Saccharomyces cerevisiae S288C: one gene and its partners. The protein of the gene in region 3 interacts with the protein of the main gene of each other region in a biochemical or structural test. Each region holds a gene or a part of one and is shown on either strand. Other genes may lie near its edges. The genes, in order: UFO1, CBF2, SKP1 and GRR1.

What was found.
Region 1: the proteins of SKP1 (region 3) and UFO1 form a complex in vitro, tested with the Saccharomyces cerevisiae proteins (2 studies listed by BioGRID).
Region 2: the proteins of SKP1 (region 3) and CBF2 form a complex in vitro, tested with the Saccharomyces cerevisiae proteins (2 studies listed by BioGRID).
Region 4: the proteins of SKP1 (region 3) and GRR1 form a complex in vitro, tested with the Saccharomyces cerevisiae proteins (4 studies listed by BioGRID).

What each region holds. Positions count from the first base shown.
Region 1 is NC_001145.3:90,614-98,654, reverse strand, and holds UFO1 (SCF ubiquitin ligase complex subunit UFO1), read right to left. Parts: upstream 6,421-8,041; coding exon 4,414-6,420; downstream 1-4,413. Other genes in the region: alpha-tubulin TUB1, read left to right, coding at 1-714; ALO1 (D-arabinono-1,4-lactone oxidase), read left to right, coding at 1,284-2,864; AIM33 (cytochrome-b5 reductase), read left to right, coding at 3,286-4,224; RPM2 (ribonuclease P), read left to right, coding at 7,924-8,041. UniProt on the Saccharomyces cerevisiae protein: Substrate recognition component of a SCF (SKP1-CUL1-F-box protein) E3 ubiquitin-protein ligase complex which mediates the ubiquitination and subsequent proteasomal degradation of target proteins. Probably recognizes and binds to phosphorylated target proteins.
Region 2 is NC_001139.9:765,755-774,712, reverse strand, and holds CBF2 (Cbf2p), read right to left. Parts: upstream 7,285-8,958; coding exon 4,414-7,284; downstream 1-4,413. Other genes in the region: BTN2 (Btn2p), read right to left, coding at 1,027-2,259; VPS62 (Vps62p), read right to left, coding at 2,741-4,144.
Region 3 is NC_001136.10:1,121,021-1,127,566, reverse strand, and holds SKP1 (SCF ubiquitin ligase subunit SKP1), read left to right. Parts: upstream 1-1,548; coding exon 1,549-2,133; downstream 2,134-6,546. Other genes in the region: PEX3 (Pex3p), read left to right, coding at 1-1,297; YSP2 (Ysp2p), read left to right, coding at 2,642-6,546.
Region 4 is NC_001142.9:589,503-598,879, reverse strand, and holds GRR1 (SCF ubiquitin ligase complex subunit GRR1), read left to right. Parts: upstream 1-4,552; coding exon 4,553-8,008; downstream 8,009-9,377. Other genes in the region: BUD4 (Bud4p), read right to left, coding at 1-145; JSN1 (Jsn1p), read left to right, coding at 544-3,819; BIR1 (survivin), read right to left, coding at 8,298-9,377. UniProt on the Saccharomyces cerevisiae protein: Substrate recognition component of a SCF (SKP1-CUL1-F-box protein) E3 ubiquitin-protein ligase complex which mediates the ubiquitination and subsequent proteasomal degradation of target proteins.

The DNA of each region.
Region 1 (8,041 bases), on a different chromosome or scaffold from region 3:
TACGACATGTGCAAAAGAAACTTGGATATCCCAAGACCAAGCTTTGCAAACTTAAACAACCTAATTGCTCAAGTGGTATCATCTGTTACAGCATCATTGAGATTCGACGGTTCATTAAATGTAGATTTGAACGAATTTCAAACCAATTTGGTTCCATATCCAAGAATTCATTTCCCCTTAGTTTCATATTCTCCAGTCTTATCCAAATCAAAGGCATTCCATGAGTCCAACTCTGTGTCAGAAATTACAAACGCTTGTTTTGAACCTGGTAACCAGATGGTCAAGTGTGATCCAAGAGATGGTAAATACATGGCTACTTGTCTGTTATACAGGGGTGATGTGGTAACAAGAGATGTTCAAAGAGCTGTCGAGCAGGTGAAAAACAAGAAGACCGTCCAATTGGTTGATTGGTGTCCAACTGGTTTCAAGATCGGTATTTGCTACGAACCTCCAACTGCCACACCAAACTCACAATTGGCCACTGTGGATAGGGCCGTCTGTATGTTGTCAAATACCACATCCATTGCTGAGGCTTGGAAGAGAATCGATAGAAAATTCGATTTAATGTATGCCAAACGTGCTTTCGTCCACTGGTATGTCGGTGAAGGTATGGAAGAAGGTGAATTCACCGAAGCTAGAGAAGATTTGGCTGCTTTAGAAAGAGATTACATCGAAGTGGGTGCCGACTCATACGCTGAGGAAGAGGAATTTTAAGGTTCACTCTCGCCCCCAACCTCCTTATCCTTTCTATATTTCAAGTATATTGTAAAAAAAAAAATTCCCCCTACTGTTATATCTCTTTGGTGATATCTTATCTATAATCTACTTATTATATTTCTCTAATATCTATGTACAAAAAATAAAAAAAAAAACCATTCTCCTTCTCTAACCTGCATTTGATGAAAGCTTAGTAAGTCTCATCGTAGTTGATGGGCCAAAGACATTTGTACTTGTTTCATCAGATTCTTACATCACCCATTTCCATGATTATTTCACGGATTTCATTAGTAATTGCATTTTTGTATCCCTAGTTCCTTTTCTCCCGCCTTGCCGTCGAATTGAAAAAAAAAATGGAAATGAGGACATCTTCCATTGATATCCAGGACAAAGCAAGAGTAGAAGTAACTATTAGCAAGGAGAATTCCAAAAATAGTGAACTTCAAGGTAAGCAGATCTATAGTTTCAATATCTGATTTTCTGCTTTTCAAAACTTAAAATTCATTAGAAGGTAAAACAAGAACCCGTAAAATTAAAGTTACCGATATTATCAGGTTTTTCACCCCATGTCTACTATCCCATTTAGAAAGAACTATGTGTTCAAAAACTGGGCCGGAATTTATTCTGCAAAACCAGAACGTTACTTCCAACCAAGTTCAATTGATGAGGTTGTCGAGTTAGTAAAGAGTGCCAGGCTAGCTGAAAAAAGCTTAGTTACTGTTGGTTCGGGCCATTCTCCTAGTAACATGTGCGTTACTGATGAATGGCTTGTTAACTTAGACAGATTGGACAAAGTACAAAAGTTTGTTGAATATCCTGAGTTACATTATGCCGATGTCACAGTTGATGCCGGTATGAGGCTTTACCAATTGAATGAATTTTTGGGTGCGAAAGGTTACTCTATCCAAAATTTAGGCTCTATCTCAGAACAAAGTGTTGCTGGCATAATCTCTACTGGTAGTCATGGTTCCTCACCTTATCACGGTTTGATTTCTTCTCAATACGTAAACTTGACTATTGTTAATGGTAAGGGCGAATTGAAGTTCTTGGATGCTGAAAACGATCCAGAAGTCTTTAAAGCTGCTTTACTTTCAGTTGGAAAAATTGGTATCATTGTCTCTGCTACTATCAGGGTTGTTCCCGGCTTCAATATTAAATCCACTCAAGAAGTGATTACTTTTGAAAACCTTTTGAAGCAATGGGATACCCTATGGACTTCATCTGAATTTATCAGAGTTTGGTGGTACCCTTATACTAGAAAATGTGTTCTATGGAGGGGTAACAAAACTACAGATGCCCAAAATGGTCCAGCCAAGTCATGGTGGGGTACCAAGCTGGGTAGATTTTTCTACGAAACTCTATTATGGATCTCTACCAAAATCTATGCGCCATTAACCCCATTTGTGGAAAAGTTCGTTTTCAACAGGCAATACGGGAAATTGGAGAAGAGCTCTACTGGTGATGTTAATGTTACCGATTCTATCAGCGGATTTAATATGGACTGTTTGTTTTCACAATTTGTTGATGAATGGGGGTGCCCTATGGATAATGGTTTGGAAGTCTTACGTTCATTGGATCATTCTATTGCGCAGGCTGCCATAAACAAAGAATTTTATGTCCACGTGCCTATGGAAGTCCGTTGCTCAAATACTACATTACCTTCTGAACCCTTGGATACTAGCAAGAGAACAAACACCAGTCCCGGTCCCGTTTATGGCAATGTGTGCCGCCCATTCCTGGATAACACACCATCCCATTGCAGATTTGCTCCGTTGGAAAATGTTACCAACAGTCAGTTGACGTTGTACATAAATGCTACCATTTATAGGCCGTTTGGCTGTAATACTCCAATTCATAAATGGTTTACCCTTTTTGAAAATACTATGATGGTAGCGGGAGGTAAGCCACATTGGGCCAAGAACTTCCTAGGCTCAACCACTCTAGCTGCTGGACCAGTGAAAAAGGATACTGATTACGATGACTTTGAAATGAGGGGGATGGCATTGAAGGTTGAAGAATGGTATGGCGAGGATTTGAAAAAGTTCCGGAAAATAAGAAAGGAGCAAGATCCCGATAATGTATTCTTGGCAAACAAACAGTGGGCTATCATAAATGGTATTATAGATCCTAGTGAGTTGTCCGACTAGTCTCTTTTTGTCTCAATAATCTCTATATTTTACTAAAAAAGAATATATATATATATATATATAGCAGTGTGATGACTGTTCATGTACATTCTAATAACTATTCCTAGCTGCCTATCAAAGACTTTTTTTTTGAATTAGAGCTTTTTAGTAATCATGGGACCCTTTTTTCTTTTCATTATCCTTACTATAGTTTTTTTTTTTTGGAAAAGCCGAACGCGGTAATGATTGGTCGTATAAGCAAAAACGAAACATCGGCATGGCGTAACGTAGATCCATCTACAGGGAAGTTTTTAGAAATCAGATAGAAATGTATTTTGAGTGCTGTATATATTGCAGTACTTTTTTTCTCTCTAGGATTTAAGTATGTTTAGTATTAACTCATATCACATTTTTTCTTTGTAAAAAGCAACCATTCGCAACAATGTCGATAGTAGAGACATGCATATCTTTTGTTTCGACAAATCCGTTTTATCCATTTTGTACTGGATTGCTTCTGAATTGTGTGGTTACACCTCTTTACTTTTGGAAAACGCAAAATGGTAGAATCGTGGTCGTTTCATTGCTGCAATTCGTAGTACTTTATGCCACAGCGTTTATTTCGATTGGAACTGATAAATCTCTTTACAGAAATAAATGGGTCGCGCTACCGCTATCCAAGAAGACCCGCATTTCTCGTAATACTAGTCTGTACTGCTTCAAGTTAAAGTACCCATTTGAAAGATTGCATATTCCCATGGGATACCACCTGGCAGTAAGGGTTACAATAAATGGTGAGCGATTAGTGAGGTACTATACGCCAGTAAATGTTCCTAATACGGAGGGTCACTTGGAATTAGTAGTCAAGACGTATAAACATGGTGTCGTTTCTAAGTATTTTGATAAATTAAAAATTCGCCAGTATGTTGAATTTAAAGGGCCGTTAGGTGAGCTGGAATATGATCAGGACACCGCAACAGAGTTGGGTATAATCGCAGGGGGGTCTGGTATAACCCCTGTATTGCAAGTGCTGCAAGAAATCATACCCTCTCCAGAAGACCTAACACACATTTCTTTGATATACGCAAACGAAACAGAGGATGACATTCTCATGAAATCGCAACTAGACCACATGGCTAAGGAGTACCCGCATTTTAAAGTTCATTATGTAATTCATAAGCCAAACGGTAAATGGAACGGTGATGTTGGGTACGTAACTCTAGAGGAAATGAAAAGATACCTACCTAAACAAGCGGAGGACCATCGTTTATTGATTTGCGGACCACCTAAAATGAATGAAATGGTTTTGAATTATGCAAAGGAGTTGGGGTGGAGTAATGGGTTTCACAAAGGTAATGGAACCGATAAAGTTTTTGTTTTTTAATCAACTGTTTACGATTGATGATTTTTCATGTAAATAAGCATTAATTATATTTAGATATATATTCGTATTTTATTAATAATTAGGAGGAATAAAGTCCGACATTTTTTTCAAAAAAAAAAAAATAATATTTCACAACGAAAAATCTATAAATAAAATATTTAACATATGCTCTTCCAAATGTACATACTTTCAATTGATTTCACTCAATGACAACGCAATGGCCAATTGTAAGTCTTCATCAACATTATTACTAGCATCAACGCCAACAGAACTACCGATAGTGTTCTCAGTTGAGGTTCGTTCGGATGACTCTGCTGCACCATATGTAGCAAAATTATCGTCGCTCAAGGGCCCATTTCGTCGACCTGTAGTATGATTTCTAAGATGTCTTCTCCTTTCGTCCTCCACTCTTGATTGTCTGATGGCTCTGAGAAACTCTTCATCATCTTCATCTATCTCATCATTCGTATTATTACCATGATTCGCAGAGCTATTCGTTTGCGTCTCATATATCAGTTGAGATTCCTCCAGCGCCCTTCTTAACTGCTCATCTTCATCATCTCCGACAGGCTCCCCCGCTTCAGCTTGATTCCGTGCTTGCGCCTCCTGTGATTCTAAGAGTGCAATTCTCAACTGAATGTCGTTTTCTTCATCGGTGTCGCCTGAAAGTTCAAGGTCTCCACCATACGCATCGATCAATCTTGATATTTCTGACTGTCTTTTTCTTCTAAGGTCTTCATCTTCATCATAATATTGCAGCTCCGTGTTCAAAGTTTCATTCCACTTATTGCTTACTGTGTTTTTACCTTTAGTGGAATGGTGATGTTTCTTTGAATCACTTGAAACAAACTTTAAATAATTCAAAACGTTACCGCTTCCCATAATGATTTTATCCTGCGATACCTTCAAAAATTCGGGAAACTTCTCGGTTTTCAACACTGTCTTTATTAACTCGCCTGTCATCGCGTTCAATATTTGAAGAACATTTGGCAATGCTACCACAACTATTAAATTTGTCACCTGCGATACGTATACCTGCTCATCAAAACTTATCTTACATTGAACTTTTAAGCCTGACGAAGAAAGATCTCTTATATTGATAATGTATAAAGTGTTCTGTGTCGTCAAAAGACTGATATAGCAGCCGTCATCACCAGCAAATTGCCAGTTTTGTTCCCTTTGAGAAGTTTTTTCATCTATTTCAACTGCGCATATTTGTTCAGGCATCTCCAACTTTCTCAAATTGCCGAAGTTACCATTGGGATTGACCGATATTGTATAAACGTTATTCAGGTCAGCAAGTACCAAAGTCATGGAACCGAAATCCATCTTGAAAAACCGTACCCTCATAGGCTGTTCGTCCAGATCCTTAGGAATATCAATACTGTGCAATTCCTGCATTTGATGGATAATGTACAGCTTTTCATCATCCATAATTAAGGTCCAATCTTTAAAAAAAGCCAGTTTCCAAATTACCCTATTAGAAACCTTCCACATCTTAACAAGCTTATTTTCGCACCACCATATAATTTCACCGTTTTCAGAGCCACTAACAGACCAGTCCTCTCTTGACGTGTCCCAGGATTCTGAATTACAAATGGCAGTAACGCCTGCACTATGCCTTCCCGTAAATTCCATCACGGGCGTTAAGTACGATTTGTTACTTAGCAGTTTTCCAAACACTCTGCCGTCAAACCTACCAAACACTGCAGCATTAATATTGAAGTCCATGGTAGAACAACCTTGTGGTGTTGTACATGGAATATAAATCAATTTCTTAAATTTCTTCTGCCTTTTGTGATTTTGTAACTGTAAAATTGTAATGGTACCATCATTATAAGCTGCAACTCGTGGATAATCAAACACTATGCGTTCTATACTGGGCTGATCCCAGTTTCTCGTCGGAATTATTGTGTATTTGGTTCTTATAGCCTTGTTATGCTGCCAATGATGAAGACCCCGTGTCCTTTCAATATACTCTACACTAAATTTCGAAGACTGAGAAAATGTGGGGAAATGAGTCGTGTGAACTCTAGACTTAAACAGGTTCTTCCAAAGTTCTTCATCGTGAATTAAGTTCCGGAAATGCGTAGAAAGTTCTTGCAACGTGAACAAGTCCTTTTCGTCTAAGTGAGAAAAGATGTTTATCAGGATTTCGGGTGGAAGGTCCTGCAATACCAAGCCAGGCCGCTCCATGCTGTCTTATTCCCTAGTGTCGGCCACCTGATAAAGGTTTTTAACTCGTACCTGGTATACCTGCCTGTTAGATTTATTTAAGGCATCTCTAAGTAATACTGAAAACCGCCACATGCGAGAAAATGGAAAGGGAAAAATTAAGGCTGCGAAAATTAATAATAGCCAAAAAAAAGTGCATGATAAAGCCTCACCCCGAGTTCGAACCGGAAAAAAAAATAGCTAAGTGAACTACTTATCCAAAGCGCCAAAAGGGGTAACAAGAAGCATTTCCCGGCTTTTAAAATGCGTACATAAACTGCTAAAAAATGTCTTGTTTCTTTTTTCGGTATATTTGAAGACGGGGATTTTAAATCATGAAATACGTACTTCGCCCTAAAGAGTCACTACAGAATTTACAGAATAGTTAGATCGAAGCACGCTAAATTGGCACCCGAAATAACACTGCAGTTGTTGCAGCTGTGGCGCGCAGTGCGAATCTGCCGCAGAAAACCCAGGAAATAGCGACCGGACACCACGTAATGCAACGCTGACCTTTCGGCGGCAAAGAATTGGGGTAAACATATAAAGTATTATTTAAAGAGAGAGCAATTCCAAGACAACAGAAAATCTTACAATATATTTATCACAGAATTCGCGGCGCAATTATACGTGGCAAGGAACCTAGCAGGCTTTACGCAAGATGCCATGGAAAATTTAACATCTAAGGCTACCTGAATAAAATGCCAAAAGCGAAAAAACCGTCTGAGAGCCCGCTAAACTCTTCAGAGTCGGTAGTAGATACCAAGATTACGCTAGCCGCACATTTCCAATTTGTTGTTATTCCCTATGCCGCACGCTTGGCAAAGCTGTATATTTGACTCTTTTAGTAGATTTGTAGAGCTTTTCCTGGCATACAATAAGCAAAGACTTTATTTCCGCTCGAGTCCGCTTTTAACCGCCGAATTCCTCCGGCTAACCAATGAAATGCAAGAGCGCACAAAAAGTGGGGCAGCTCCGAATGCGCGCGTTCTCATTGGCCAGGCACTCGGGGCCGAGACTCGGTGTGCCTTACAATTCCCCCATGACAAAGCAAAAACTGTCAGTTTCCCTCGAATCATACACACGTCAATTACAAATCCATGGATTAAGTTGTCTCTCGTTCGTCCATATTACACTTTTCTCTTTAGTTGTATGCTTTATAAAATTGATCCGTGAAAAGTTTTCCACATAATAAACCAAGACAACAGGATTGTTTATAACGTTATAAGAAAGCAGAAGAAAATTTGCTGTGCGTTGTTTCCCTAATATCGCACCCAAAGAACCAAGACACATCATAAAAGGAGCTATAGCTTCAACTCTGACACAATTTTTTGTCAGTTTATATTCATCTTCACAAAAAAAAAAATTATACAAATATAGAAACAAATAACTCGCCCAGCTTTTTTTGCATAAAAAGATAAGTGCATTTAAATTTATAGAGACTACAACAAACAGAAAAGAAAAAACAAGCATACACAAACGAAAATGGCTTTCAAATCATTCATATACTCTAAAGGTTATCATCGTTCCGCCGCTCAAAAGAAAACTGCAACATCTTTTTTCGATAGCTCCTACCAGTATCTAAGGCAAAACCAAGGTTTGG
Region 2 (8,958 bases), on a different chromosome or scaffold from region 3:
AAGGCCTATGTGAAAGAAAACTATATGCTGTTATGCTCGGGAATATATAGTAATCTGCGCAGAGATACATGTTCGGCACAGGCTCACCTGGGCCTACTAATTACGCATCGATGTTGACCAATTTTCCGCTTTGGGCACGCATTCATTTGTTTTCCTTTTTAAAACAACTCAGATCGTATTTGTCTCAGCACCCACACCTTGCACCAGGGTCCGTTTACCCATTTGAGGAATATGTTTCTAAAAAAAAAGAGCCGTAATATTCCAGTATACCTCATTAAAAGTAAAAAAATTTGGACGAGTCCGGAATCGAACCGGAGACCTCTCCCATGCTAAGGGAGCGCGCTACCGACTACGCCACACGCCCAATTAATTGATGAAAGGGGAGAATAGAGAAGAATAATGAAGTAAATCTAATGAAATATCAAAAAGCCATTCTCAACGTAACATTTACTCAATTATCTTCAGGGCAGGAAGGGGAGAAGAAAAAAAAAGCTCTTTTACTTGATTACTGTTTCCGTTAATTTGAACTTAATTTTTCTAAAGATGGAATTGAGATATTGGTGAATTTTGAGATAATTGTTGGGATTCCATTGTTAATAACAGTAGTAATATTAGGTATATAGAATATACTAGAAGTTCTCCTCGAGGGTATAGGAATCCTCAAAATAGAATCGATAAACGATAGTTGAATTCTATTCAAGCAGAAATGAATTTCAATCATTCGATAAAGTAGCTTGTATTTTGTGAATCACTTGCCATTCCACCATAAAATACTAGCATAAATGTTAACATGGAAAACCGGATTTCTAGGAAGCAAATAATTGTACTAAAATCACGGATACTAATAATTTCTACTTTACTGTTGCCCTTTTATTTTGTTATATTGTAACAAAATAAATCCGCCTTCTGCCGTGCCGATTTATATTCCTTTCATAAAGTCAGTGAATTATAGTAGTATATAAGATGCATATAATTAGTTATTTAATGCCGTAAAAATGAAAGATGGGGAGTATGTATTATCACCCATTATATCTCCTCAATAATAGAGTTTCCCTTGGGAGATCTGCTTAGGGACTCGTTGTATCTGTCAACTTCCTCATCCTCAACGTCTTCTAATAGGGGTGAAGCGTGTTTTTTTAGTGTATTACCAGACACAGAGAAATCCAAAGTCGTATCAGAATCACTGTTTATACTTTCATTATCACTTTCTGCTGAACCAGAATTGCTATTATTATTTTTATTGCTGGCCTCAATCTCAGAGATAGGCAATGATTTGGAATTTTGCAATTTTTTTTGCTGGGACCTCTTGGTTTTTTGCTTATTTATCAAAGATTCTTTCCTTGCCTTCAATCTGGCTTCCTTCTCTTTCTTTTGCCTTTCTTCATCTTCCTTGGCAGCTTTTTCCTGTTCTGATTTTCTGCTTTCCTCCTGCATCAATCTTTCTTCCTCTATCCATTTTTTTATTTGGTCTTCTTTGGTTAGTGGTTCTTTCGCTTTCTCCGCTTCTTCCTCCTTCAAAGATTCAGACATGTTAACATCATCGTGAGACTCGTCTATTTTGGATTCAATTATTGGCATCTTTGGTTCGTTGATGCCACCTTCGGAAATTTCTTCCTCATGCTTAACTAAACCAATCTTTAAAAGTGCATATTTTTCTCTCGAGCCATCATCTATGTTTTCAACTCCACAGCCAATAACAAAAACATCTTCAAACACTTGGTCTAGAGAGAATTCCTTAAAGATTTTATCCTTCTTACTCAATATGCTCAATTCATCACCTCTATGATTCAATTCTATTTCGTAGTCTTGGAAAAGATCCTTAGCAATTTTCTTTCCTATGGCTCTAAAATCCAGATCTTTCAATGCAGATCTCAATAGAGCATCTTCATCCGCTTCATCTTCAACATAATACTGGTTTCCAAAAAAATCTTGGACAACATGGTAAGTTGGTCTGTAATGGTTCTCCTTTAGCTCACCTAATTTCTCATTAACGTACTTTGAAAAAAGTTCATATGGAATCCGCTTAGACAAGCTTAATGTATAACCATTTGGTGTTTCAGCAAGTGCATACCTCAAAGGTTCTGAACAATTTGCATCGCTTTTTTTTGGAGCTCTTAGGTTAGCTTTTATTGCTTTCCTCCTTTTACATTCTGGATAATAGCTCACTGGAGAACTGCAATCAAAATAACGCGAATGTAGGGGCTGACTAAAAGATGGCAGCTGTTCAAAAACACATGGTGAATTGAATATGGAAAACATTTCTATATTGTAATGGGGTCTATTAGTTATTTTCTTTTGGTTGTTGTTATGATTGTAATACTGATATTTCTTTCAAGAAGAAGAAAATATATATAGAGCAATGAGAATACCTGTCAATGAGAAAAGATTGTTCTAATGCTTTTATATATGTAATGCAATAGATCTTCCATTTGTTTTGCCACTTTACTTCGCCAAGAACTGAAGGCTTCTATGAAATTCTTAATTCTTCCATCCTGGGCGGCTGTTAGCCCAACCCGACCTGGTTCGGAATATCGCCGAACAAGAAAACTGGATACAACTCTCGAGCTCCACCGAGTGTCGCAATTTTCCGGAACTTTCTAGAAAAAAAAGTGTCAGTAACTTTACAACCACAGACGGTGCGAAAGAAAAAAAGAAAAATACGGCTGAAATAGTGCTACATGACGATGCACAGTACATACACTACAGCATGCTAAAATAGCGAAAAACGCCCAAATATTCATTACCCTGTAAAGTAGTCCATAATGAAACATACGCTTCCCCTCCACGTCAAAAAACGGAGTATGCTACGCAGCCACTTTGGCCTTATGTTGTACAGCAAGATACCACAATTGTCACCCACAAGATCATTCTTTTCTGCATCCAAACCTTCCCCTCTTTTTATATATCTTCTTGCCGGGCAGCCCTTCCAAAAATTCCACCATTTAAATCTTTGGCATAAAGAAACCCTTTCCATATTTTTGAATAGTGGACCTTTTGGTCCGTCAATATATTTCCATTGAAATGGGCACCATTTTTGTCTGGGATCCCTAGGTCTTAATTGTTTATCGCCCCAAGCGCCTTTGAACGATAGCCATTCTAGTCCCATTTTAGTTTCTTCAGCGCCGCATGGTGTCATTTTTTCCCCCACAGTCACTGTATAGGCATAATAGTTTAAAGAAGGATCCCATAATGGCCCTCTATCAGTAAAGTCACTCAATGGCATAAAGAAAAACGGAACATCGTGCGCATGTTGACCGACTGATGCATAATGTGCATGTGTGCCTCTTGCACTAAATATTAAAGGCTTCTTAATAACCTCGTTTGTCAATTTACCGTCAACACGACGCAATCTTTTGATTTTCTCAATGGCTTCGAACTTATAGGCACTACCACCCCCATGCGCACTCATCCATAGATATTGTGGTTCTCCTTTATAGAATCGTACTAAAGAATGTTCCCAGTCCCCTACATGATTTCCCCATGGTCCGGAGCCCATAATATAAGGACCCCAATTGAAGGGGTAGAAATAAAACCAGAACGCGTCTACCCAACCATTTCCTTTGTCAACGACAAAAAGAACTGCTGGTGCTTTCTTTATGTGACCTGTACCATATTCTGGTTGTTCACCCAACAACCAGTCAGGGCCCTTATCAAAATCATCTAAACTTGTCATATATGTACCTTCACTGGATACTCGGCCCCACGTTCCGTTCTCTAACTCTACCGAATAATACTCTTGTAAGTCACTTAAGTCACGAAGGTGTTCATTGATAATTTTCTCCCCACTGTGGTCTCTCAACTGGAATCTTTTTACAAAATCCTTAACATCAGCTGGCCAGTACTTTTCTTCACTATATAAATGGAGCAGAGGGCTATTATCGATGACATATTGCGGTACATTGCCCCTTTGTTTTAAGCTTTTGTTATCCTCGGTAACTTCAGATGGATGTAACGGAGGTGTGCTTGAAAGGATGTCCTTACTCCATGGTTCATCCCCCATTTCTAGAAGCGTTGCTTCAAATGGGTCATCATCCAGCCAAGGCACGAGTACCGCACGGCAGGGTATTATCGAATAAATAATAAATGTAACGAGGAAATATAGCCTCGTTCTTTGCCGCTTATGACTATTTTTTGAGATTCGCATGAAGCTATAAGTTTATTCTTAGTTGCGGTAATAAAGAAGCCTTCTTCCTCTTCTATCTTACCAGGTCTACCAACTCAGTCTTCCTATATTCGTATAGATTTCAAAGTTCAAGGCATCTGAAGTGATGGAACCCCTATAGGTGTTACCCGATTTTCTCACCACAGCAACCGTTGATATTCCGGCAGCCTTTTTCTCATAGTAAACATCATTATATTATAAACATACATGTCGGTATCCCTATACGAAACAGTTTAAACTTCGAAGCTCCCTCAGTTAGATAGATATACTAACAGACCATCAAATGAATTTTGATGGTCATGCCTCCACTTCCTTAGGAACTTTGCCAAGCGCGAAAATGAACCTTCGTTCTGATCTCGTAATTTTTCGCAAATATCAACTGCTTTGTATCTGTCGAGACTCTCATGATTTACCAAATAAATATAGAATTCAACAATTGATTTTCTTTCCTTGTATAAAGCTTCACAATTAGCTCTCCACGACTTGTTACCTGATTTGTTCATTGAATGCACGCATTGGTTGGCGTACTTAGCGTTTGGGGTGAACCATTCAAGAATGATTCCCTCTATGCTGTCTATGGATTTGTCCAGCATAAATTCTTGTTCGTCAGTATAGCTCTTTGCTTCTTGATCTTGCTCAGGAGACGGCGATGCAGTAGTTGACATGGCTTGATGATCATCATTATCTTTCACAGTCTCTGCGTACTTACCACTGGTCCTAAGTTTTTTAGGAACTTCCATATCAAATCCAACATTGTGTTCTTCCGTCATGTATAGTTGTGGCCTCTTCAACGTTGAAAACTTCCCCGTGTGTGAACCAAGTTTTTGCTCGATAATACGAGTGACTTTTTCTTCAAGAATTTTATCTAATAAAGCGTTTATTTTCAATTCAAATTGATCCATTTGGTCCCGTAAAAAAGTGCTTATTTTGGAGTTTATAAGTTCGTTTATCATAGATTTTAACTGCTCTTGCATCTCAGAGTCATTCTCATCTTCATTTTCTCCATATGCGCCATCTTCGATGGATTCACCGTCCTTTTTGAATACATTTGAATCCTCCGTGGAGGATTCGTCGGAGGAATCCGCAATTGAGAGTAATCTAATTTGCTTCGGCCTCTTTGTCCGCCTTGATGTGTTAGGCCCATCTTCATTCACAATGTTTTCTTCTTTTTTAATGGGCTGATTATCACGTATAAATTTATCGGCATCGTCAATCTTAGATTTCTTAATTCTTTCATCCAAGGTAATTTTGAATAAATTAAGCTGATGTAAAATATAGCCTCTTGAAGATTTTTTCATCTCCAATTTCTCAAAAATTTTATTGAATACCGATAATAAAATTTGGAAATTAGAAAGTGTTTGGAACTGCACATATTCGAAACTCTGTTGCTTCAATAATTCATTTAATTGTGTAGTATCAAGTTGACTCATTTGTAATGGCCCCTCAGATTCTTGTTTTTGAGTGGGGTGTGTATCTGGATTATGACTCGAAGCAAATGTCAACTGCGAAGGCCTTTCTATTAAGAGTGAGTAAAAATTTGTCTTATTCTTATAGATTTTATTAAAGCCTGGTAGTATATCGAATGATAAAATGGGTGAACCCTTTGAATGTATAGTTTTGTCATTGAAGTATGATTGAAAATCGGAATTTCCAAAAATGGGGTCCTGGAATATATCATGATTAGGAAAGAATTTGTAAATCCATGGTAGATTGCTCAAAAATCTTTCTCGTAAAACTTCCATTAAATCTAGAAAATCCCTTGAATTCTGAGACAAACCTTCATAATCATGTCTTTTATATTCATCAATCTCCGGAAATATTTGAACTAATAAATCCTTTGGAGGCGGAAAAGGGTCCTTTTTAGCGTTTGTAGAATACGAAGTGTAGGGCGATTTGAAGTTCATGATTTTCTTGAAGTCGAACGGTATTTTGTCAGGGAACGCAAAGGCCTCAGGTTGTTCTAACCAATTTCCATGGTTTTCTTCATTGAAAAATGTTCTAAAAGTGTCTTCATCCCAAGTTGGGTAAACAAGGTTACATTTGTTGAAATATTCTCTTCTTTTATAAGGTAAGTGGCAATACCTAAACACGGTTGTATAATAATTACTAAATGTTTCCTCTCTGGGATAAGTTGTCAGTGATTTGCCTCTTAGTATGGGAATATCTTGTAAAAGTGAGCCATTTTCATCAGCGTTCAAATTGGGAAAGCCATCCCCTTTCGAAACAGATGGTATACCATAGAACCTTAAATACAAATATGCAGCTAATGTAGTTTGAGGGCAGATAAATGGACAATCTTGGGGTAATAATGCAAGGAGTTGATGGTGGCCCGGCGTATCTTTTTTTTCCGCCGAATGAGTTACTTTATGATAAATTATAGCGTCTCTGTCCCTTTTACCGAGCTTGAGGGAACCAAATCGTATCTTTGATCTTTCTTCAAATGAAAGGTTCAAATAACTTCTTAATTGAAAATCCACCAGGAATCTTAATTTTTCAGAACAGGTTTTAAAAAATTTCTCAGAGAGATGGTTAGTTTCTGGGTTCCATAAATTCAAAGACACTTTCAATAATGGTGGACACAGCACTTGAGTATTTGTGTTATTTGTTTCATTAGTGGTGATTGCCTTTTGTGAATCTATCCAATGGGTATGAAGCTTGGTGACTGACTCCAGGTATTTTGTGTCTATATTAGCATTTGGATTTTCATGAACTTTGCACAATTTTGACAAAAAATTGAGACTGCCTATAATTTTCTTCAACGTAGCGATCTTGAATGAATTCTCCTCCTCCTCATCAAGATCTTCAGTCTCTTCTCTTTTCTCTCCAGGCTTATCATCGGTTATTAATGTATCTAACAAAAACCAATGTATCAGTTCAGCAGATATTGGCAGGTCTTTATAGGGGACGCTATTTACAGAATTGTCCTCCGGTGTCGGTATAATTTGATTGAGCTGACACCATTGTATGTACTTAGTATAGTAGGTCTTGTACTGATGCGCAGTTCTTGGCTTTAGGGAGTCCACCAGTTCCTGAAACCTATCTTCTGATGACATAGCTTCTTGCTGTTGCTGAACATCCATAATTTTCATCAATTTTAGTAGAAACAAAATCGATGATCTCATATGTTTTCTACTTTTTCTTGTTTGTTTGTATGCGGTAAAAAAATAAAAGCGAGAGAAAACGCGAAAGGTTCCTGGTATCAAAGTGGGGTAACGGATACCTGGATGTTGAGATACATAACCAAACAAGAAGAATACACTATCCGATTATAGCCCATAACAAATGGCAGTATGCGCACCACTGTTAGCGCATTATTTTGAGATTGTGCTTAACAAACGCAATTACACTGTTGTTTAGCATAAGATATAATAATAACTTTTCACGTTTATCTTGAATGTAATCACTCAAACTCCTTTGTATAAAAGTCCACAGGCATCAATCTACCTATTTGAAGACTCAGCAGCAGAGAGAAAGTTATATAGAGCAAGACAAAGTACACACAAAGAAAGCAGAGAACACAAATATTTGTGGGGAAGAAGCAAGGTGAGTGGCCGCAGTCATTTTCGGATGAATTTGAGGTTCATGTTTTGATGTTTATTTCTATAAGAAAAGTAAGGAGAAGCACCATTGAAGTATAAATATATCAGCACTGAATGCGCCATTACGGCAAAAAGGAAGGGGAATGCAAAAAAATAAAAAATCTGCCTCAGGTTTTAACACTTAAAGGCACGAAAATAAAAATAGAATGCGGCTGCTTACATACCACTAGCTGAGCAAGACAGCTGCCGTTCAATGTTTGTACTTCGCACCATGAGAGTTGTGGATATGTACTTTATGGACGAAGCTGAAACGGCTAACACTATTATTACGCGAACTTTTTCAACACTTTTACTTCGCCACAAGTGCCGAAGATCGAATCTTACCCAAAATCCGGTTATTTTGTACCTATGCAAAAACCCTTCCCCTGATCTATTTGCCATTTAGCCGCCCAAAGTACCGCAGAAGCTGTTACAAACACATCACGGGCCACCGGAAAAAGTATTTTTTTGCTGCTTACCTGAATATATTTGCGCTTAAAAAAATTTTCCGGCGCTTCCGAGTGAAATATACTGCTTAACTGTGTCCGGAGAAACCTCGTGCGGAAAACAGCGCAAACCGCAAAAACCCCGCAATGGGCGCGCTTACTCAAATTCCCTCGGGTGGTCTCACGGGCTGGCCGCAGCGCAGTCGCCTGCCGCACTAAACCTTAAAAATGCGAGAGCGCATGCACGGCGGACGTCGTGGAAGCCTGACGCGTGCGCCCTTCTCCTCCCGAGGGACATAATGTCTTGGTGCCTTACTAGAACCGATTTCTCGAGATGATTCCATAGCCGTTAAATTCATCTCAAAAGAATAGAGAACACAGCAGCGCAGAACGAAAACAAACTGTCGCGTCGCATTTTACTGAACGAGTCATTCGCATATTCTGCTTAGGTGTCTGAGTCTTTTAAACGCATTCTAGGTTTTTCGAAAAAGCCACCGAAGAACACTGCCATCCGCATGCACTGTAATGCCACTGTTTATTTTTTTTTCTTGCTATATATATACATTGCGCATACACCCTTTTGAGGTTTCGTACTAGGATTTTTTTGTATTTGTTTATGTTCTTTTTTCCTGAAGACATCAAGAAGAAATAAGAAAACAAATATATCATTTTATTGTTTGTGTTTATAGAGAACAATATACAACTTCCTTCTCCTACTATATCAAGTTTAATATTTAATTTTTTTTTTTTTTCGGTTTGAATTTTAATTTTA
Region 3 (6,546 bases):
TCTGCAGAGACATCGAGGAAAGGTACTCATTTCATTGACTGGAATAGCTGCTTTATTTACCACAGGGTCGGTGGTAGTGTTTTTCGTGAAGAGATGGTTGTATAAACAGCAGTTACGGATTACTGAGCAACACTTCATCAAAGAACAGATCAAAAGAAGGTTCGAGCAGACACAGGAAGACTCGTTGTACACAATATACGAGCTACTTCCTGTATGGAGAATGGTTTTGAATGAAAACGATTTGAATTTGGACAGCATCGTTACCCAATTAAAGGACCAAAAGAACCAGTTGACTAGAGCAAAGTCTAGTGAAAGCAGAGAAAGTTCGCCGTTAAAAAGTAAAGCTGAGTTGTGGAACGAGTTAGAACTAAAGAGTTTGATCAAGCTGGTGACAGTGACGTACACAGTATCGTCGCTGATTCTTTTAACAAGACTGCAACTAAATATCCTGACAAGAAACGAGTACCTGGACTCCGCAATAAAATTAACCATGCAGCAGGAAAACTGCAACAAACTACAGAATAGGTTCTATAACTGGGTTACATCGTGGTGGAGCGATCCGGAGGACAAAGCGGATGATGCAATGGTAATGGCAGCAAAAAAGTCAAAGAAAGAAGGCCAGGAAGTGTATATTAATGAGCAAGCTTTCCTATCACTATCATGGTGGATTCTTAACAAGGGGTGGTTGAGTTACAATGAAATAATTACAAATCAAATCGAAATTGAATTTGACGGCATACACCCAAGAGATACTCTAACGTTAGAAGAATTTAGTTCTCGTCTCACGAACATATTCCGGAACACGAATTCCCAAATATTCCAGCAAAATAATAATAACCTCACGTCTATTTTGCTTCCTAAAGATTCCAGTGGACAGGAGTTTCTTCTGTCACAGACGCTTGACGCGGATGCTTTAACAAGTTTTCACTCTAACACACTAGTTTTTAATCAATTGGTGAATGAACTGACCCAATGTATCGAAAGCACAGCAACATCCATAGTGTTAGAGTCTCTAATAAATGAATCATTCCATTTCATAATGAACAAGGTCGGCATAAAGACAATAGCCAAGAAAAAACCTGGCCAAGAAGATCAGCAACAGTATCAAATGGCAGTTTTCGCTATGTCGATGAAAGACTGTTGCCAAGAAATGCTTCAAACAACTGCCGGGTCTTCCCATAGCGGCAGCGTGAACGAATACCTGGCCACTCTGGATTCTGTGCAGCCGCTCGATGATCTGAGCGCCAGCGTATACAGCAACTTTGGCGTCTCCAGCTCGTTTTCCTTCAAGCCTTAATCTCTGAATAAGTACTGACACTCACACCAGAATATATATATATATAGCGTAATCTTTAATACAGTAAGTGTGCAATAGGTAACATGACATTACCCTGCAGCGATTTAACGGGCGTCTTGGAGAAAAGAAGAGAAAGGGAAGAAATAGGTTGATATATTGAGGGCAGAGAAAGTGATAGCCCAACGTTGGCAAAGATATAACAGAAAAGACGTTATAAACAATACAGGAATACTAACAAACGTAGCGCAGATATGGTGACTTCTAATGTTGTCCTAGTGAGTGGTGAGGGTGAACGATTCACCGTAGACAAGAAAATCGCGGAGAGATCCCTGCTATTGAAAAACTATCTGAACGATATGCATGACAGCAACCTACAAAACAACTCAGATTCAGAATCAGATTCAGACTCGGAAACGAACCACAAAAGCAAAGACAACAATAACGGTGACGACGACGATGAGGATGACGACGAGATTGTGATGCCCGTGCCCAATGTTCGGTCTTCCGTTTTGCAGAAGGTTATCGAATGGGCCGAGCACCACAGAGACTCTAACTTCCCTGACGAAGATGACGACGATTCCAGAAAGAGTGCTCCCGTGGACTCATGGGACAGAGAATTCCTGAAAGTGGACCAAGAGATGCTATACGAAATTATTCTGGCGGCAAACTACCTCAACATCAAGCCCTTGCTTGACGCTGGCTGCAAGGTGGTTGCTGAAATGATCAGGGGAAGGTCTCCCGAGGAAATTAGAAGAACGTTTAATATCGTCAACGACTTCACTCCAGAGGAGGAGGCTGCCATTAGGCGTGAAAATGAATGGGCTGAAGACCGTTAGCCTACATTTCCTCTGATGACTGTGATCCTTTCTTCCGATGATAATGCGCCATTTCAGAGCAAGATAGGCAAAAATAAGCAAACAAGGCTTGCTGTCATGCAATGTGTACGTTAGTCCACCATAACCAAGCATGTATGAATTATATATGTATACAGTTTACATAAACTTCAAACTACAATAAGATGTGTGGTCCATCGTCGTGTGTAGCGATAGGCGTCTTCTAAAAGCCGCAAAAGTGACAAGAAGAAAAAAGGAAAATTATTGAGTTATAAAAGCTATTGTTTACATGATGAGACGGGATAAATTTAGGACAGATAGCTGTAAACACTCCGTTTTGAATCATATTTGTGAAATATTTGGTCTAAATTTTAAGTCAAGTTTATTTTCTTCGAGCATTTCAACACCAGCTTAACCCTTTGCTTTAAATTATTCATCTAAAATAGGGTATATTGATTGCTAATCACATATAAATATATAGAAGCAGCAGCTGTACAGATATCCCTAACCAATGAGGGATGAAGCTACTCGCAAAAAAAGGTCATTTAGTGATGGTCATTTTTTCAAGAAACTGAAATTGATGTCAAGGAAAAAGCAACCTGTTATGGAAAGAAGTAAGACCACTCGTACAAGGAAGGAATCTACCAATTCCGCAGCAAAATCATCCCTATCATTAAGAAGGGCCAACAATGGCAGAAAGACCATCGCTAAGAGAAGAGTACTGACCGACATAGGCTCTACTAATGAAGGTGTTGCCGGTAACTCTGGTTCAAACTCTCCTGCTCAATATTCTCATACTCCTCATTTTAGTGATTCTATCCCACCACTGCCTTTAGAGCTACCAGATATCGTCTCAATAAGGAGTAGTAGAAGTCATATTAGTAATAAGAGTAATAAGAACAAACATGGTATAGACTTGACTTTCATACCTCGAAGATCGCTACAAAATTCTAAGGCTGGCTTGAAGAAACCGAATACTTCTCCACAAGGTTATTTTAATATTCCAGTGACTATAGATAGAGCAAGTGAGAAAGTCAAACATACTGATACTAAAAATACATTCAATTCTTCGTCTTCTGAGAATGAACGACCAGTTTTGAGCATCTTACAGAAGGATGACTCTCAAAGTTCTTCGCACCCAGCTATCGATTCAATGTCAGCACCCAATAATATTAACAACAATAACGACATTGAGAATTCTTCAAACAGTCTATTTGATACTATTCTATCAATTGCTCATAGTGCCATATCTCATGTCCCTAAAATTTCAGCCTTAAATACTGAGATACAACGTGAATTTTCGCATTCAGGTGAAAGTCATACAGGTTCAACTCGCCATCCTTATTTCCATATCCACCACGCGCAGCAGCAACATCCCTTGTCACAGCAACAAGGGCCCTTACCTGTTTCCGAAAATGCTAACCAAAATCCCAATGACACAGTGCTCATTCATTCCCCCTCCGCTAACACAGCCCACCGCAGTTCATCATTTTTGCGTCATTTAGATTATTTACTATCCCCCACTTCTGGTCCAGCCTCTGATAAACATACTCAAGTAGAGGAAGGGGATGACGAGGAAGAGTTATCGCCTCTTTCCAAAGCATTTCTTTCACCATCAACTCAACTGGTACCTACAAATACATCGACTACGCCCCTTTCAGGTTCTTTGACACCTAACAATAGAAACGTAAATGCAAACTCTAACTCTGAAACCGAGAACGACAATGATAGGGATGATAGATCAAATGTTGGCAAAGTGAAATTTCAGCCCTTGAAAGTACACGAGCCTGCAATCTCAACCTTTGGTAAAGGCAACTTAACTTTAGAGGCAGTGGCAGGATCCTCTGATATTGATAATACAACTATTGATCTGGACGAGAATAATACCAATAATAATCCAAATGCAAGTTCAACAAACTTGAGTCATATTAGCAAAAGTAACGTAAACAATAATCTCGGTCCAAAAGAATTAAACACAAGTTATCGTAATAGTACCTATATCGACATGGCAAGGTTTGAAAATTCACAATCGAACCTTTCTAGCCATAGGGCAAGAAGTAAGACACTGCCCGCGAACAAAGCATTAGAGAATGCCGTTGGTGATGAAGGTAATAGTAAAAGAAATTCAAGATATTCTTCTTATTCAAACGATATGGCCTTTGATGATGCCGACGAAAGAAAATTCAGAAGTATGTCCAAAAAATTCTTAAACAGGAGATCTTTTTCACCTTCGAACTTAGGCAATAAAGTGATCCCTGGAATTAATTTAAGAAATTCATTCAACAAAAATAGGAATAGTAGTTCTGATTTCTTTAGTACAAATCAGGGACAGCAAATGCCAAGAACAAGTACTGCGGGCTCAGGTAATATCCATGCAATAATGGGTTTGGATTCTGGCAATGATGATTTCAAGTTAGAAGGTATTGAATATGCTTCAGAAAAGAAAAACAGCGAATTTCATACCCTTTTCAAGGACTGCGATATTAATCCTAACGAAAAGTTAATTGTCGATCATAGTTGTGCACTATCTCGTGATATTCTTTTACAAGGAAGGATGTATATATCTGATGCACACATTGGATTTTTCTCAAACATTTTGGGATGGGTCAGTACAGTTTTCATTCCGTTTAAGGAAATCGTTCAGATTGAGAAAAAGACTACCGCCGGAATTTTCCCCAATGGTATTGTAATTGATACGTTGCATACAAAGTACATCTTCGCCTCTTTTATGTCAAGGGATGCTACCTTTGATTTAATTACAGATGTATGGAATCAGATCATCTTAGGTAAAAAATATAGGAATGGCTTCGGTAATAATGACGACGGTACGATAAGCGATTCGAGCAGTGCATTTTTTGATGATTCCGATGACAATGACGACGATGGAGACCTGGATGACGATGACCCTGATATTAATAGCACAGATATGACATCTAGTGACGATATTGATGCTGATGTTTTCAATGAATCAAATGATCTTGGTAAAAACCAAAAATCTACGAACTACTTATTGGGTCCCAATAAACACTCTCCAACCACTGCTGATTTCAAACCTTCCAATAATGATCATTTGGTTATTGAAGCAAATATTAATGCACCATTAGGAAAAGTAGTAAATCTTTTATACGGTGAAGACGTCTCTTACTATGAAAGGATCCTTAAAGCTCAGAAAAATTTTGAAATATCGCCAATCCCTAACAATTTCCTCACAAAGAAAATTCGTGACTATGCATATACGAAACCGTTATCAGGCAGCATTGGTCCAAGTAAAACAAAATGTTTGATCACAGATACTTTAGAGCATTATGATTTGGAAGACTATGTTAAAGTGCTCAGTATTACCAAGAACCCGGATGTTCCTTCAGGGAATATCTTTTCAGTGAAAACTGTTTTCCTTTTCTCTTGGGATAAAAACAACTCCACCAAATTAACAGTTTACAATTCTGTTGATTGGACTGGTAAAAGTTGGATCAAAAGTATGATTGAAAAGGGAACATTTGATGGTGTTGCGGACACCACAAAGATAATGATATCTGAAATTAAGAAAATCTTAAGTGATGAAGACTCAAACATAAACTCAAAGCATCAAGCCAGCAATAATGAATCAGAAGAAGAAATTATTAATCTGCCAACTATTGGACCTCCAGTTCATGATCCGACGGAACCTGATTTTCAAAAAGGAAAAGACGATACAGTTATCGATGAAAAAATTAATATACCAGTTCCTTTAGGAACAGTGTTTTCACTATTGTATGGTGATGACACATCATATATTAAGAAAATCATCGAAAACCAGAATAACTTTAATGTTTGTGATATTCCAAAGTTTGTGAATAACGCAAGAGAGATCACCTATACCAAAAAATTGAACAATTCATTCGGTCCGAAGCAAACTAAATGTATAGTCACAGAGACCATCGAGCATATGGATTTGAACAGTTTTTTTATGGTAAAACAAATAGTCAGATCTCCGGATGTTCCTTACGGTAGTTCATTTTCAGTACATACGAGATTTTTCTATTCCTGGGGTGATCACAACACAACGAACATGAAAGTTGTCACCAATGTTGTCTGGACAGGTAAATCAATGCTGAAAGGAACCATTGAGAAAGGTTCAATTGATGGACAAAGAAGTTCAACAAAGCAACTCGTAGATGATCTCAAAAAAATAATTTCTAATGCTAGTTCAACGAAGAAAAAATCGAGGAGAAGAGGAAAGACGGTAAATAAAAGGAAATCATCACCATCCACTATCAAGAATGAGAAGAATGAAGAAAACTTCGAAGATACAAGTACCAAAAATTCATTTTTTTCCGCTTTCTCAATGTTACAACAAGTAAACATAACATCCGTTCAAGGAATTATGACAATTATCTCTTTTTTTATTTGCTTGATTTTCTTCTTTAGATTATTATT
Region 4 (9,377 bases), on a different chromosome or scaffold from region 3:
TATCATCGCCTATTTCCTGCAGCGGAAGCTTCCAGTTGTGTGGTGTATCTTCGGAACCATTTTGCGTGATATTAGACTTTGTTTGTTCCATTTCATTGTCTATCTCCTTCAGTAGAGAATCTACGGTACTCTCTGCGTCGTGCATGCTTCTGTACTTTTGTTTTTATATAATTTAATGAACTAAAAAATTCTTCTTGCACAGACTGAATCAAAGAAATATACACCAAACCAACGAAGTTTAGTGAATGGAGATGTTCCCTTCTAAGTGTTTCCTTTGCATAAATAAACATTATTGTTTTCTCGAGGAATATTTCATTGTTGTTTACCTTTTTCCAAATCGGGTCATCTATTCGTTCCTCGCGACAATGTCTCTTTTTCATTTGGACAAATTACCCGCCGACAATTATTGGGACAAAGGGGGGCGTTTCTCGTAGGATGACCAATGGCGCATAGAGATGAATAGTTAAAACAATAAGAGGCACTTCGAGAGATTTGTGTGTATGTGTGAGAAAGAGCGTGAACGTCTATTTATTCCTTCTTAAGATGGATAAAAGTAAGCAGATGAACATCAACAACTTGTCCAACATCCCCGAGGTGATTGACCCTGGCATCACTATCCCAATATACGAGGAAGAATACGAGAACAATGGAGAGAGTAATAGCCAACTGCAGCAACAACCCCAAAAGCTTGGATCATATAGGTCGCGAGCAGGAAAATTTTCTAATACATTGAGTAACCTTTTGCCCTCCATCAGTGCCAAGTTACACCATTCGAAGAAAAATAGTCACGGAAAGAACGGTGCTGAGTTTTCCTCTAGCAACAACAGTTCCCAATCTACGGTGGCGTCCAAGACACCAAGGGCCAGCCCTTCCAGGAGTAAGATGATGGAAAGTTCTATAGACGGTGTAACTATGGATAGACCTGGCAGTTTAACCCCTCCTCAAGACATGGAAAAATTGGTGCATTTTCCTGACTCGAGTAATAACTTCTTAATTCCTGCCCCCCGAGGATCTAGCGACTCGTTTAACTTGCCACATCAGATCTCGAGGACGAGAAACAACACAATGTCTTCTCAGATAACTTCCATTTCATCAATCGCCCCCAAGCCTCGTACTTCGAGCGGAATATGGTCTTCAAATGCTAGTGCGAACGATCCCATGCAACAGCACCTTTTGCAACAATTGCAACCTACGACAAGCAATAATACAACTAATTCAAACACGCTCAACGATTATTCGACAAAAACTGCATATTTTGACAACATGGTATCTACTAGTGGAAGCCAAATGGCAGATAATAAGATGAATACGAATAACTTGGCTATCCCAAACTCTGTTTGGTCAAATACCAGACAGAGATCTCAATCCAACGCGTCTAGCATATATACCGACGCTCCACTGTACGAACAGCCCGCTCGTGCCAGTATTTCATCGCACTATACTATTCCAACACAGGAATCTCCATTGATTGCTGATGAAATAGATCCGCAATCCATCAATTGGGTAACAATGGACCCCACTGTACCATCAATAAACCAAATATCGAACCTTTTACCCACAAATACCATTTCTATTTCCAACGTTTTTCCCCTACAGCACCAGCAGCCACAATTAAATAACGCGATAAACTTAACAAGTACTTCCTTGGCAACCCTATGCTCCAAATATGGTGAAGTCATATCTGCTAGGACTTTAAGGAATTTAAACATGGCTTTAGTTGAATTTTCTTCCGTGGAAAGTGCCGTAAAAGCCTTAGATAGTTTACAGGGCAAGGAGGTATCTATGATTGGAGCACCAAGTAAAATTTCATTTGCCAAAATCTTACCTATGCATCAACAACCCCCACAATTTCTTCTCAATTCTCAAGGCTTGCCATTGGGTTTAGAAAACAACAATTTGCAACCACAGCCTTTATTACAGGAGCAGTTATTCAATGGAGCTGTGACTTTCCAACAACAAGGAAATGTTTCTATACCTGTATTTAACCAGCAATCACAACAATCGCAGCACCAAAACCATAGTTCGGGTTCTGCTGGTTTTAGCAATGTTCTCCATGGTTATAATAATAACAATAGTATGCACGGAAACAACAATAACTCAGCAAATGAAAAAGAACAATGTCCTTTCCCTCTACCACCACCTAACGTTAACGAAAAGGAAGATTTGTTAAGAGAGATCATCGAACTTTTTGAAGCAAATTCCGATGAATACCAAATCAATTCGTTGATAAAAAAATCGCTGAATCACAAAGGCACTTCCGATACGCAAAACTTTGGACCTTTACCAGAACCATTGTCTGGCAGGGAGTTCGATCCACCAAAATTACGCGAATTGCGAAAATCAATCGATTCAAACGCATTTTCCGACTTAGAGATCGAACAGTTGGCTATTGCAATGCTTGACGAATTGCCCGAATTGAGTTCAGATTACTTGGGTAACACTATCGTTCAAAAATTATTTGAACATTCATCTGATATTATTAAAGACATCATGCTGAGGAAAACAAGCAAATACCTAACCTCTATGGGTGTTCACAAAAACGGAACATGGGCTTGTCAGAAGATGATCACTATGGCGCATACTCCGAGACAAATCATGCAAGTGACGCAAGGGGTCAAGGACTACTGTACTCCATTAATCAATGACCAATTCGGAAATTATGTCATACAGTGCGTTTTGAAATTTGGATTCCCCTGGAACCAGTTTATTTTTGAAAGTATAATAGCTAATTTTTGGGTTATTGTTCAGAATAGATATGGTGCAAGGGCAGTCAGAGCTTGTTTAGAGGCACATGACATTGTAACTCCTGAACAATCAATAGTTTTGAGTGCAATGATCGTTACATATGCTGAATATCTAAGCACTAATAGCAATGGTGCGTTGTTAGTAACGTGGTTTTTAGATACTAGTGTTTTACCCAACAGACATTCTATCTTGGCACCAAGATTGACGAAAAGAATTGTAGAGTTATGTGGCCACAGATTGGCTTCTTTGACTATTTTGAAGGTCTTGAATTACAGAGGGGATGATAACGCTAGAAAAATCATCCTAGATTCCCTATTTGGAAACGTGAACGCACACGATTCTTCGCCACCAAAGGAATTAACAAAGCTTTTATGTGAAACAAATTATGGCCCAACCTTTGTCCATAAAGTTTTAGCAATGCCATTATTAGAAGATGACTTAAGAGCCCACATCATTAAACAAGTCAGAAAAGTATTGACGGATTCTACTCAAATCCAACCAAGCCGCCGTTTATTGGAAGAAGTCGGGTTGGCATCACCCTCTAGTACTCATAACAAGACAAAACAACAACAGCAGCAGCATCATAACAGCAGCATTTCGCACATGTTCGCCACTCCTGATACTTCTGGACAACACATGAGAGGTCTTTCTGTTTCTAGCGTTAAAAGTGGTGGATCTAAACATACCACAATGAACACCACGACTACAAATGGTTCTTCTGCCTCTACATTATCCCCGGGCCAACCATTGAATGCCAATTCTAATTCTTCAATGGGCTATTTTAGTTATCCTGGCGTCTTCCCTGTCAGCGGCTTTTCAGGCAACGCCAGTAATGGATATGCTATGAACAACGATGACTTAAGTTCCCAGTTTGATATGCTAAACTTTAATAACGGAACCCGTTTATCGTTGCCACAACTGAGCCTAACTAACCATAACAACACTACTATGGAATTAGTAAACAATGTTGGCTCCTCACAACCTCATACGAACAACAACAACAATAATAACAACACGAACTATAACGACGATAACACCGTTTTTGAAACTCTGACTTTACACTCTGCAAACTGACGTCCCCATGTTTTCTTTTATTTCCGTCATCATTGGGAGACCACGCCGTTTTCTTCTCATACCTGCATCCATTCAAAACTATCTCATTTACCCCCAACGGTTTTATGGTTCAAATCCTAATAGAATATGAGCGAGCTAATGAAGAATTTGGGCATTTTCATTACTGGGAAGACGTGTCTTTTTCAAGCCATCATATCGCCAAATTTTTTTTCTACACCTAATCATGATTAAATAAATCCATAAAGTTTTATACAGTTTTTAAAAATATCATCATTTATTACCCAGATGTGTTAATGAACATTTATAGTCATCATTACTAGGCTTTCATTACTACTGAGGTTACCCGCCTATGGACCTTCCTTGGTAAAGGAACTTGTTTTAAAATTTGCCTTTTAACAAATTTAGTGATATGATTATCAAAAAAGGCGTGGCAAAATACATAACACCAAATTTAACTGTGCCTGTGTGTTACTTTCTTTTGTCCATACTTCACCAGTTTTTCGATTTTACACAATAATTCGTTTTCATTTAATCGTTCTCTTAGAAGCCCGGTTTTTGAATATCAAAATCGTACTTGTGTCCAACTAGCAGGGAAGCCCAAAAATTAAGGCATTGCATTTAAGCTTACACCTGCGTGAAATCTTGAAATTTCTCATTGATTTCGGCACAATAATTATCATTGGTAGTGAGGCTAAACAGTTTTGCGGTTTCCTTTATACTAAGAAGGTCTATAATGGATCAGGATAACAACAACCACAATGACAGCAATAGGCTGCACCCACCTGATATACATCCAAATTTGGGCCCTCAATTGTGGCTGAATAGTAGCGGTGATTTTGACGACAACAACAACAACAACAACAACAACAACAATAATAATAGCACAAGACCACAAATGCCATCACGAACTAGAGAAACGGCAACTTCGGAAAGAAATGCAAGTGAGGTTAGGGATGCAACGCTAAATAATATCTTTAGGTTCGATAGTATTCAACGGGAAACGCTTTTGCCAACCAACAACGGACAACCGCTAAATCAAAACTTTTCGCTGACATTTCAACCACAACAGCAAACAAATGCGCTGAACGGGATTGACATAAACACTGTGAACACAAACCTTATGAATGGTGTCAATGTTCAAATAGATCAACTTAATCGATTGTTACCGAACCTACCAGAGGAAGAACGGAAGCAAATCCACGAATTCAAGCTAATAGTGGGCAAAAAAATCCAAGAGTTTCTGGTTGTTATAGAGAAACGTAGAAAAAAAATACTGAACGAAATTGAGCTAGACAACCTTAAACTAAAGGAGCTACGTATTGATAACTCCCCACAAGCAATTAGTTATTTGCATAAATTACAAAGAATGAGGCTTAGGGCGCTAGAGACAGAAAACATGGAAATTAGAAATTTAAGGCTAAAAATATTAACAATTATAGAAGAGTACAAAAAGTCATTATATGCATACTGCCATTCCAAGCTAAGAGGTCAACAAGTGGAAAATCCAACAGATAATTTCATCATTTGGATAAACTCCATAGATACTACTGAATCATCTGACTTGAAAGAAGGGCTACAAGATCTTTCGAGATATTCAAGGCAGTTCATAAATAATGTGCTTTCGAATCCATCAAATCAAAACATATGTACGAGTGTCACCCGAAGATCACCTGTGTTTGCCCTAAACATGCTACCCTCGGAAATATTACACTTAATATTAGATAAACTTAACCAAAAATATGATATTGTAAAATTCCTTACCGTTTCCAAACTCTGGGCTGAAATAATTGTGAAGATACTTTATTACAGACCGCACATCAACAAAAAGAGTCAATTAGACTTGTTTTTAAGGACTATGAAGTTAACTTCTGAAGAAACTGTATTCAACTATCGTTTAATGATCAAAAGATTAAATTTTTCATTTGTTGGTGACTACATGCACGATACAGAGCTTAACTATTTTGTCGGATGTAAGAATTTGGAGCGACTAACTTTAGTATTTTGCAAGCATATAACCAGTGTTCCAATATCGGCTGTTTTGAGAGGATGTAAATTTCTCCAAAGTGTGGATATCACTGGAATAAGAGACGTTTCCGATGACGTATTTGATACCTTAGCGACATATTGTCCCAGAGTACAGGGCTTTTATGTTCCTCAGGCAAGGAATGTAACATTCGATTCACTGCGGAATTTCATAGTCCATTCCCCGATGTTGAAAAGAATAAAAATCACAGCAAACAATAACATGAATGACGAATTAGTAGAACTATTAGCCAACAAATGCCCTTTGCTTGTAGAGGTCGATATAACATTAAGTCCAAATGTCACTGATTCTAGTTTGTTAAAACTCCTCACTAGGTTAGTTCAGCTGAGGGAATTCAGAATAACTCATAATACGAATATTACGGATAATCTTTTCCAGGAGCTTTCTAAAGTAGTTGACGATATGCCCTCTTTAAGATTGATTGATCTTTCTGGATGTGAAAATATTACAGATAAAACTATAGAAAGTATAGTCAATTTAGCCCCTAAATTACGTAATGTTTTTCTAGGCAAGTGTAGCCGAATTACAGATGCATCGTTGTTCCAATTATCGAAGCTGGGCAAAAACTTGCAAACAGTGCATTTTGGGCACTGTTTCAATATAACTGATAACGGGGTAAGAGCACTCTTTCATTCATGTACAAGAATACAGTATGTGGACTTTGCGTGCTGTACGAATTTAACCAATAGAACTCTTTATGAACTAGCAGACTTACCAAAATTAAAGAGAATTGGCCTTGTCAAATGTACGCAAATGACTGACGAGGGTTTGTTGAATATGGTTTCCTTGCGAGGCCGAAATGATACTTTAGAAAGGGTACATTTATCTTACTGTTCTAATTTAACAATATATCCGATATATGAGCTTCTAATGTCTTGCCCAAGGCTCTCACATTTGTCTTTGACTGCTGTTCCGTCATTTTTACGCCCCGATATAACGATGTATTGCAGGCCTGCACCCTCAGACTTTAGTGAAAATCAACGTCAAATATTCTGCGTATTTTCAGGGAAAGGTGTTCATAAACTTCGCCATTATTTAGTAAATTTAACGTCGCCCGCTTTTGGACCACATGTCGATGTAAATGATGTTTTGACAAAATATATTAGATCCAAGAATTTGATATTTAACGGTGAAACACTTGAAGATGCTCTTAGGAGAATCATAACTGATTTAAATCAAGATTCCGCTGCAATTATAGCTGCTACAGGATTAAATCAAATCAACGGTCTAAATAACGATTTTCTTTTCCAGAATATCAATTTTGAACGAATAGATGAAGTATTCAGTTGGTATCTCAATACTTTTGATGGCATTAGGATGAGCTCGGAGGAAGTTAACTCACTATTATTGCAAGTAAACAAGACGTTTTGTGAAGATCCATTTAGTGATGTGGACGATGATCAAGATTATGTCGTAGCACCTGGTGTAAACCGGGAAATTAACAGTGAAATGTGTCATATTGTTAGAAAATTCCATGAGTTAAATGATCATATTGATGATTTCGAGGTGAATGTTGCTAGTTTGGTAAGAGTTCAGTTTCAGTTTACTGGTTTTTTACTTCATGAAATGACTCAAACCTATATGCAAATGATTGAATTAAACAGACAAATTTGTTTAGTACAAAAAACGGTTCAGGAATCGGGCAACATAGATTACCAAAAAGGGCTTTTAATATGGCGACTTTTATTCATTGACAAATTCATTATGGTGGTTCAGAAGTACAAGCTCTCCACCGTTGTTTTGAGACTATATTTAAAAGATAACATAACATTGTTAACCAGACAAAGAGAACTATTAATAGCCCACCAAAGATCAGCATGGAATAACAATAATGACAATGACGCCAACCGGAACGCCAACAACATAGTGAATATTGTATCGGATGCTGGGGCAAACGATACAAGTAACAATGAAACTAACAATGGTAATGATGACAATGAAACAGAAAATCCAAATTTCTGGCGTCAGTTTGGCAATAGAATGCAAATATCACCTGACCAGATGAGGAATCTCCAAATGGGACTTCGTAATCAGAACATGGTTAGGAACAATAACAACAACACAATTGACGAATCAATGCCTGACACTGCCATTGATTCTCAAATGGATGAAGCATCAGGAACGCCCGATGAAGATATGTTATAATTGTATTTCATTGAATACTTACTGTCCTACTACACCTTTATTTTCAAAATCCCACTTTTCTTACTTATTTACATATAAATACATAATGCATTCACTTTGAAACTTTTTGCCTTAGCATGTATACGCTATAGACTTGCGGTATCAACGAATATACGTAACGTTGTCACGTCCACAGAAGATGCTATGTCAACAGTTCCCTGCAGATATCTGCGATGCGGCGAAACATTCTATACACAGTTTCAAAACTACAAAAAATACAAACCTTTAGCCTGTTTATCAAATTAGTTAGCTATAAAATGCCCATTTTCTTAGCAATATCGATCAATTGATTGTCATCTTCCAAAGTTTCAATAAAATTTGTGGCAGTATAGTAATCCCTTCTCAATATGTCCAATTTCTTATCACAGTCATCTATAAATTCGCGCTTAATAGATTGCACTTTTAGGTTCACCCAATTGTTGAATGTCATGTCCAACTCTTCTGCAGGCATTTGCTTAATCAAAAAAGCCAGATCACCGTCTTTGTCATTAGCTAGCGTAGCATCATTATTATTTATATATTTTAACAAATCATGGAAGTAATTTTTTACAAGGTGTCTATTTTCATCAATTTTAAACCATTCTGCTGCATTCGGTTCTTTTTCGTTGTTGCCCTCATTAAATGAACTTCCTTTCTTAGAATTATCAGCCAAACTTGTGCTTGTTTCCTTTCTTTGTTCTTCTAAACGTGAATTCCGTGGATATGAAGAGGTTCCAGACACCAAATTCCTTGCAACTGATGGGACTGGCTCAAATTCGGGTTTAATAACCTTTTTTATTTCTACAGTTGATGAATCTATAGGTATATCCAATTCCTTCCCAGAAAACTCTTCATCAAATAATTTTCTTGACTTGTTTTCTTGAGATGCGATCGGGGTTCCAGTCTCAAAAAGTAACATTTCATTATTTGGGGTCTCATTCTTCACAGACACATCTTCCAGTATTTTTATAGTTTCCTGCTTATTAGTAAAATACTTACCATCGTCAGTTTCTTTTTTGAGGCCAGAAAGCTCTTTGACTGCATGCAAACTGCGTGTGAGATTAATTTTAGGGCTCGCTACCGGCGTTGAAATAACGCTTGAGCTTTTTGATGATTGCTCAGATTGTGATGATGGTGAAAAATCGGACGCCGAAAAATTTAGATCTATATTGATGTTATCTAATTTTCTTTCTGTTGGAACAACTTTTCCACTTATTGATAGGCTTCTTGGTTCTTGCAAGTTTTTCCTTGGTTTAGGATGAATATCAGCGGGAATGCTGGATGTTTTGCTATTGCCTCTCCTTTGTTCCTCTTTGGGTATTGCGGTAATATTACTGGAATTATCACCACT